Arabidopsis thaliana: one gene and its partner. The protein of the gene in region 1 interacts with the protein of each later gene in a pairwise test. Each region holds a gene or a part of one and is shown on either strand. Other genes may lie near its edges.

Region 1 (5,190 bases):
TGAAGATATTGAGATAGTGGGATGATTAGTTAGATTCAGTTGTAATATGCAGGGTACGTTATCAAATGGAACTGAAGTTGCAGTCAAGAGGCTGTCAAGAACTTCAGATCAAGGTGAATTGGAGTTCAAGAACGAGGTGCTTCTTGTAGCAAAACTTCAGCACCGGAATCTCGTTAGGCTTCTCGGTTTTGCTCTGCAAGGAGAAGAAAAGATACTCGTCTTTGAGTTTGTTCCCAACAAGAGCCTCGATTATTTCCTCTTCGGTAGTACTAGTAGTCTAATTTTCCTCTTGATCCAATATTCTTGAAATCTTAAGCTTGGATTTGCAAATGGATGTGCAGACCCAACAAAAAAGGGTCAGCTGGACTGGACAAGACGGTACAACATCATTGGAGGGATTACACGAGGGCTTCTCTATCTTCATCAAGACTCTAGGCTCACCATCATACACCGTGACATCAAAGCGAGTAACATTCTTTTAGATGCTGATATGAACCCGAAAATAGCGGATTTCGGGATGGCTAGGAATTTCAGAGATCATCAAACTGAAGACAGTACAGGAAGAGTCGTTGGAACCTTGTTAGTATTCTCCTTATTATTTACAATGGGCACAATTCTCTGATGAACGGTTTTTGTTACTGACTAACGTAAACATTGTCATGTATATATTTGCAGCGGTTACATGCCTCCAGAATATGTTGCGCATGGCCAATTCTCTACCAAATCCGATGTCTATAGCTTCGGAGTATTGATTCTAGAGATTGTTAGTGGCAGGAAGAATAGCAGCTTCTATCAGATGGATGGTTCTGTTTGCAACTTGGTCACATATGTGAGCTGAAATCTAAAATGCTTTTTTTACTTTCTAACTGTGATCATCGATTCTGAATACGAGTTTGTTTGCAGGTTTGGAGACTTTGGAACACTGATTCATCTTTAGAGCTCGTAGATCCGGCGATTAGCGGAAGCTATGAGAAAGATGAAGTCACTAGATGCATCCATATCGGACTTTTATGCGTTCAAGAAAATCCTGTGAATCGACCAGCATTGTCTACAATATTCCAAATGCTCACTAATAGCTCCATTACTCTAAATGTCCCTCAACCACCTGGATTTTTCTTCAGGAACAGACCTGAGTCAGACACATTACGCCGTGGATTGGAGCCAGACCAATATAACAATGAATCTGTTACTTGTTCTATCGACAATGCAACAATCACTACACTCCTCGGTAAAACTCTTGCTTCTGCACTCTGTTGTATTACCTCAACTCTATTTTCAAAGTCAATGTATAGAAACACTGAGGATTGAATTATTTTTGAATATTAAAAGTTATCTCATTTTGATTCTGGTTTATGTATTCACGTTCATTTTTTGTTAAGAATAAATGCTTGGCTCACCTGCCCAATAACATCTTTTTTTGACCAAATCAAGGTTCTCAAAATAGTACGGTGAATGAAATCAAACTAGGCTATCCACTGTTTTATCCTCACATGTTTCTGCTTTGTGTCTTCCTTCACAAAGATGCAGGGACTCAGTATTTTAGACCCAACGGTACTCATTCCTTAATGGAGACTAAGAGATTTTTAAAACAATAGGAACCGACGACTTAAATACTTGTGTTTGGTCATTGCTTGTTGCATTGTGTTTTGGAGTAAGTTAGAACGTTTTGGTGTCAAATAGGGCCTAGAAGAGCTACAGATCAAGAATTGGTCTACGTTCACTTTCATCATATTTACCTAACGTGTTTATAAAGTATTAAATTATCCAAAACGTTGACCTAGGTGACTTGTGCATTAATGCACGTATCCACTACTTGACGAAAATTCTACACGCGAAAGCTGTTTTGACCAAATCAACGTTCCAAAATAAACATTTCCTTTTAAAGATTCAAGTTCTAAGATCTGCAACAAGTATCTGAGCAAAGTAAAATGTCAAGAGAAAAAATGTGTTTGAACACTCTCTGTGCAATCCTCTGTTTTGTCCTTACCGTTAGTTTCGGCTTCGTCTCTGCCCAAAAATGCGGGGAGTCTGTGTTTTTCAGACCTAACGGTAACTATGACACTAACCGTCGTCTCGTTCTATCAACGTTAGCTTCCAACGTCAGTTCTCAAAACAACCGCTTCTACAACGTTTCGGTCGGTGAAGGAGCTGGAAGAATCTATGCCTTAGGTCTCTGTATCCCAGGGTCTGATCCAAGGGTGTGTTCCGATTGTATCCAACTCGCGTCTCAAGGTTTATTACAAACCTGTCCGAACCAGACCGACTCATTCTACTGGACAGGCGACAACGCCGACAAGACGCTCTGTTTCGTTCGTTACTCTAACAACTCGTTTTTCAACAAGATGGCTCTAGAGCCAACTCACGCAGTTTACAATACTATGAGGTTCCAAGGGAACCTCACAGCTTATACAAGAACATGGGACGCGTTCATGAACTTTATGTTCACCCGAGTCGGTCAAACTCGATACCTGGCTGATATATCCCCTCGGATAAATCAGGAACCTTTGTCTCCTGATCTTATATACGCGCTGATGCAGTGTATTCCGGGGATATCTTCTGAAGACTGTGAAACCTGTCTTGGAAAATGTGTCGATGACTACCAGAGTTGCTGCAATGGGTTCATAGGTGGAGTCGTTAACAAGCCGGTCTGCTATTTCCGGTGGGATGGTTATAAATATTATGGTGCCTTCGGTGATGAAGCGCCATCTCAACCCCCCACGCCGCTTCCTCTTCCTCCTCCTCCTCCTCGTGATCCAGATGGAAAAAAGATCTCTACAGGAGTTATTGTGGCTATTGTTGTTTCCGCAGTTATCTTCGTGGTGCTAGTCGCTTTAGGATTAGTTATTTGGAAGCGAAGACAATCATACAAAACACTGAAATATCATAGTGAGTTACTTTTTTTGTTTTTGTTTTTTTATCACTCTCACATTACTTATTGGAATGCATATTAGTAACCATGCATATGTTATATATTTGCAGCTGATGATGATATGACAAGTCCACAGTCTCTGCAATTTGATTTTACAACAATTGAAGTGGCAACAGATAATTTTTCGAGGAACAACAAGCTAGGTCAAGGCGGATTCGGTGAAGTTTACAAGGTATATTTGAGCTGAGCTCTACATATATCTATGACTGCTTGATTTGCTGTGAAAACTAAGAACTTATAAGTTTTTCATATGTAGGGAATGTTACCTAATGAAACAGAAATTGCGGTAAAGCGTCTATCGAGTAATTCAGGACAAGGCACACAAGAGTTCAAGAACGAGGTTGTGATTGTGGCCAAACTTCAACACAAGAATCTTGTTAGGCTTCTTGGGTTTTGCATAGAAAGAGATGAACAGATACTTGTCTACGAGTTTGTTTCCAACAAGAGCCTTGATTATTTCCTCTTTGGTAATAAACAATAACACTTGGTTTAATTTATGTTCATTCATCAAATTTTCTTATAATTATAGTGTAATTTAGATCCAAAAATGAAAAGTCAACTAGATTGGAAAAGACGGTACAACATCATAGGAGGGGTTACGCGAGGACTTCTCTATCTTCATCAAGACTCAAGGCTAACAATCATACACCGTGACATCAAAGCAAGTAACATACTTTTAGATGCTGATATGAACCCTAAAATAGCTGATTTTGGAATGGCAAGGAATTTTAGAGTGGACCAAACTGAAGACCAGACAGGAAGAGTTGTTGGAACCTTGTTAGTACTCCGATAATCTCTTTAAAATTGATAAACCTTTTTCTATTTGTTTGTTTCTGATTAACATAAACCTTTTTATGTTGTATATTTGCAGCGGTTACATGCCTCCAGAGTATGTGACACATGGCCAATTCTCTACCAAATCTGATGTATATAGCTTTGGTGTATTGATCTTGGAGATTGTTTGTGGCAAGAAGAACAGCAGCTTCTTTCAGATGGATGATTCTGGGGGAAATTTAGTGACACATGTGAGCAGAAAACAATTTAAAATTTTACTTTGTTTAGATTGTGACCATCAAGGATTTGGATTCTGAATATGAGTTTAATTTCTTGGCAGGTTTGGAGGCTTTGGAACAATGATTCACCCTTAGATCTCATCGACCCTGCGATTAAGGAAAGCTACGATAATGATGAAGTCATTAGATGTATCCATATCGGAATTTTATGTGTTCAAGAAACTCCGGCAGATCGTCCAGAGATGTCTACAATCTTTCAAATGCTTACCAATAGCTCCATTACTCTGCCTGTGCCTCGACCACCTGGATTTTTCTTCAGGAACAGACCCAATTTAGACCCCTTAACCTATGGATCCGAGCAGGGGCAATCCAGCAGCATGTCTGTTCCTTTTTCTATAGATAGTGCGTCAATCACTAGAGCCACTCCTCGGTGAGATGATTGCTTTTGCACTAGTCAGTAGCATTTTACTTGTAACACAAGCAACTCCAGTTTTCAAAGGTCCAGTTAATTTTTATGGTAATATGGGTACATATAAAACCAAACTTATGTGTAGCCGTGTAGGTAGAGTATTCCTTTCTTGTTTTTTCCCATGGCAAGATGAGAATTTGTCAAACCTCAAATATGATACATTAACCTCTAAGAACAACCACTTACGAACCCATTTTTTTACTTCTTCAGTCATCTATGATAGTCACCAGCTTGCTTATTCAGCTTTTTGCTCCCCCAGATTTTCTATAAAGTGGCAACAAATTTTATTATTTCCCCTGAAATATCCATGCAACTACACTTATATTATGATGATGTTCCAATGATTTTGATCACCAACATTTGTAGATCTCTAAGGTTTTTATGTTTCATCAAACTCTATCTAGCAGCTTCACATGTGCTAGTATATTTGTAACGTCTCTCATCCAAGTCCTCTCTTTCAAAGACTGGTTTTCGCTATTTCAAGAGGCTATAAAGACTTCCGGAAGCACACTTAATTAACTGTGACAGGATGTTTCACCGAAAAGATAAGTGGACTTTGGTGACATAGATTGCCTCTCCGAAGCACTATATACACCACTATATTCCTTTAATAGAGGTGTTACAATATCATCTTGATAAATATTACCAACAACATGCTATTGCTTGAACACTAAACGTATTAACTCATAATCGCTAACGAATTTGAACATACGTCTTGAAATAAGACCAAGAATCGACACAAGCTAACGAGTTCTCCTATATCACGCGTGGTGTGATCT
Region 2 (2,999 bases), 6.7 Mb from region 1:
CTTACGCTAGAAAAATTCTTTTGATTTGGGTTTGCTTCCTCATTTAAGAGGCCCCTAATATATTATTTGGATTTGTGCAATGTTTCAGGTTGGTTGAAGCCATGGTTAGACAGTTGTCTTATCTAGCCATGCAGGACAAGGACAACCCAAAAAGGCTTCACATTCTGCCTCTTACCTCCATAATGTTTTTTTCTGCGTCTTTGGGATTCCTTTATTTTTAAAGATTAACTATAGTCAAGGCTAAAAGGTTTGAAATACCGGGTAGTATTACAAAAGTGAAGTCTTTTATTTAGTTTTAACAAGTCGTTTGAGCTATTGTTTCTTTCTATGCCGTAGACTGATCAGTGGTTACAGTGTTGTGATGCGTCTTCAAGGAGCTGTGGTTTCATGACTCTTTCATGATCCTTTTCCAGCTTTCCAACTTCAATAATAAGTCTTTGAGACCTTAAGATGAGATTTTCCTTTTTTTCCATTTACACAGGTTGCTGATTTTATTTTAGCATGTTTTGTGTTGTCAATAGGTAGATTAGTTCAGGATTTGGTCTGTGGACAATGGACAATGAATTTTGCACTCTCTTGTTTTATGAGCAACACAAGCAAAACACACAACATACAAAAGATACAAGTATGAACATAGGATACCGGAGATAGGTGATAATCTGTATCACAGGTTAGTGCTGATCTCAGAAGCAGCTCAAAGATGACTTCTTGGGTATCTTTCCTGCGGCTTGAAACCTAGCAGCAGCTTCTTCCGCATCAAGGATCTCTTGAGCCCGTCTGGTTTGAACATCTGCCTTCTTCTTTTGTGCCTTTGCATGAACTGCCGCTTTTTCGTTCCTTAGTTTCTCAGATTTCTCCATCTTCTTACTGTCCATCTTCCGCTGTAGAAAACAACAATTTTTTCGTCTGTATGTTAGTTCTTTGACGACATGAAATGTCATGTTTCATAGTCTTGTACCATTTGGTTAACTTGCTGTTTAGATAGATTCATGTTTTTGATCATACACTACAGGCTACAGCAGTAGAACAGTCTTAAGCATACATGAGTACATAGATCATATATTAGGAATTGGTAGATGTCTTTTGTGGAATCACCTGAATTCTAGCGAGTTCAGATTCGATCTTTGTAGTTTTCTTTTTCTCCCATCCTGAAATATCTAGTAGCTTCTTCTGAGTCCTGCAATCAGAGAATCTGTCACAGTGGTACTGAAACGACGCTGAAAAGTGTTTGTGTTGTGACTTACTTGTTATTGACCTTTGTTATCTTTAGTTCCTTCCATGCCTTAATAACTTTTGACTGCTCATCTCCTATGTGGTATGTAGTAGGTATAAACTAAAAATTAAGATACAACATGAAACTAAACAATACTAAAACTCTGTGATATGAGTTACCTCTTTGGATCGGAATATTTGGCTCCATTTGATTGAGAATGAGTTTCAGGCTTTAAGTTCTAGTTGCTAGTTAAATGCACATTTAGGTCTATTTATAGTGATGTAACACACATGTTCGATTACAAAAGGTGAAAATTTGGAACTGTCGGTTTCAATGCATTGGTGTCGTTTTATGTCTTGAGGGAATATTTGAAAACCATCGTTCGTTTTAAATTAATATGTCGCAAGGAATAAATATATCACAATGCTTGCAAGCTAGCGAATCTTGATATGATTGGCGAGCACTAAGTGTTGTTCTAATTGCTCTTAGTTTATAATTTGGTTAGTTTTTATAATCCTTTCATTGAAGAATGGAATCCCCCATATAAAAAAATAAGATGCATGTGTTCAATATATGCCAAAGCATTCCATACCAAGTCCCCACTATGGAGTAATTTCACTATCTAATATCTATCTTTGCAAAATAATTATCATTCTTTTTTTTCTTTCTTGTGAAAAACAAAACAATTTAAAGACATTGAATCCACACAAAATGTAATATAGCGGACAAGCAAAAGCAGAAATGGTCCAAGAAAATGGCATGTTAAAGCTTAACAATTTGAAACGAATAAAGGATGCATTAGAATGTTGTTGTTGCTCAGAGATTGAGTCGTCCTTTGATGATGTCAAGGCTCATCTCACTAGGATCAGTTGCTTGCAATTCAACTTGAATTCCTTCCATTTCTCTCTTGAACCTGTCTTTTGAGCTTGCATACAACATCTTACTCCGAACTCTCGATGTATCAGGTGACCTGATCAATACAACACATTCATGAGCATTTGAGATCATGTGGAAAAAAACATGTTAAGGAGAGCAATGTGTTGTTACCACGCGATGAAAAAGATCTTGCTCTTCTGACAATTGTCCTCTGTGGTGAAATCAAAATCGTAGACAGCGTATCGGCATTCGTCATCGGGGATAGAGCTGGTAAAATCGTCGTAAGTTTCTTCTGGATTCCCAAGCTTTTCTATTTGCACTTGCTGTGCCTTCTCATCAATTTTGAACACAATGAACCTGTAAGTCCTCTTTGCTTTCAACTCTAAGAACTTAATCTTGCATTCATCATTCACATGCATCCCAGACGCTGAATTAGCCTGCACAACACACACACACACACACGTAGTCATTTATTTATATATTAAGCTGTTTCCATTCTATACATCTTCCTAACCAGTTACCATAAAACTTAGATTGTGATTTAGGATCATAGCATATAAACCATATGTCCACAACATCATTCTTAATGAAGTCAATATATACATGAAACCTATTCATGTGTTACACTTCCAAAACCAAATAACACAAAACCATATATATTCAACCACACCATCCACATATAAATTTCACATGTTGACAATCAGAACATAAACAGAATCAATGCATCATCATCATCTACATCAGAAGATTAAATGTAGGAACTTACCATATTTTCTTTGGAGAATCGAACTCTAATCTTGTGTTTGATGATTGGGAAAAATGAAGAGGATAGGGAAGAGTGAGGAGGATTGGGGGGGTTTATGAGGTTGAGGAAAAACACAAAAGTTGGGTAATATTTGATATTTTCTTT

Evidence for each region.
Region 2: the proteins of CRK31 (region 1) and AT4G00670 interact in a protein complementation assay, tested with the Arabidopsis thaliana proteins (one large-scale study listed by BioGRID).

Annotation. Positions count from the first base shown.
Region 1 is NC_003075.7:6,965,786-6,970,975, forward strand, and holds CRK31 (cysteine-rich RLK (RECEPTOR-like protein kinase) 31), read left to right. Parts: upstream 1-1,923; 5' UTR 1,924-1,928; coding exon 1,929-2,886; intron 2,887-2,979; coding exon 2,980-3,101; intron 3,102-3,185; coding exon 3,186-3,396; intron 3,397-3,468; coding exon 3,469-3,706; intron 3,707-3,800; coding exon 3,801-3,954; intron 3,955-4,043; coding exon 4,044-4,376; 3' UTR 4,377-4,684; downstream 4,685-5,190. Other genes in the region: CRK30 (cysteine-rich RLK (RECEPTOR-like protein kinase) 30), read left to right, coding at 53-272, 342-579, 676-829, 904-1,308.
Region 2 is NC_003075.7:277,751-280,749, forward strand, and holds AT4G00670 (Remorin family protein), read right to left. Parts: upstream 1,448-2,999; 5' UTR 1,421-1,447; coding exon 1,393-1,420; intron 1,309-1,392; coding exon 1,245-1,308; intron 1,178-1,244; coding exon 1,096-1,177; intron 988-1,095; exon of another isoform or gene 882-987; coding exon 684-881; 3' UTR 566-683; downstream 1-565. Other genes in the region: ADF8 (actin depolymerizing factor 8), read right to left, coding at 2,030-2,183, 2,261-2,559.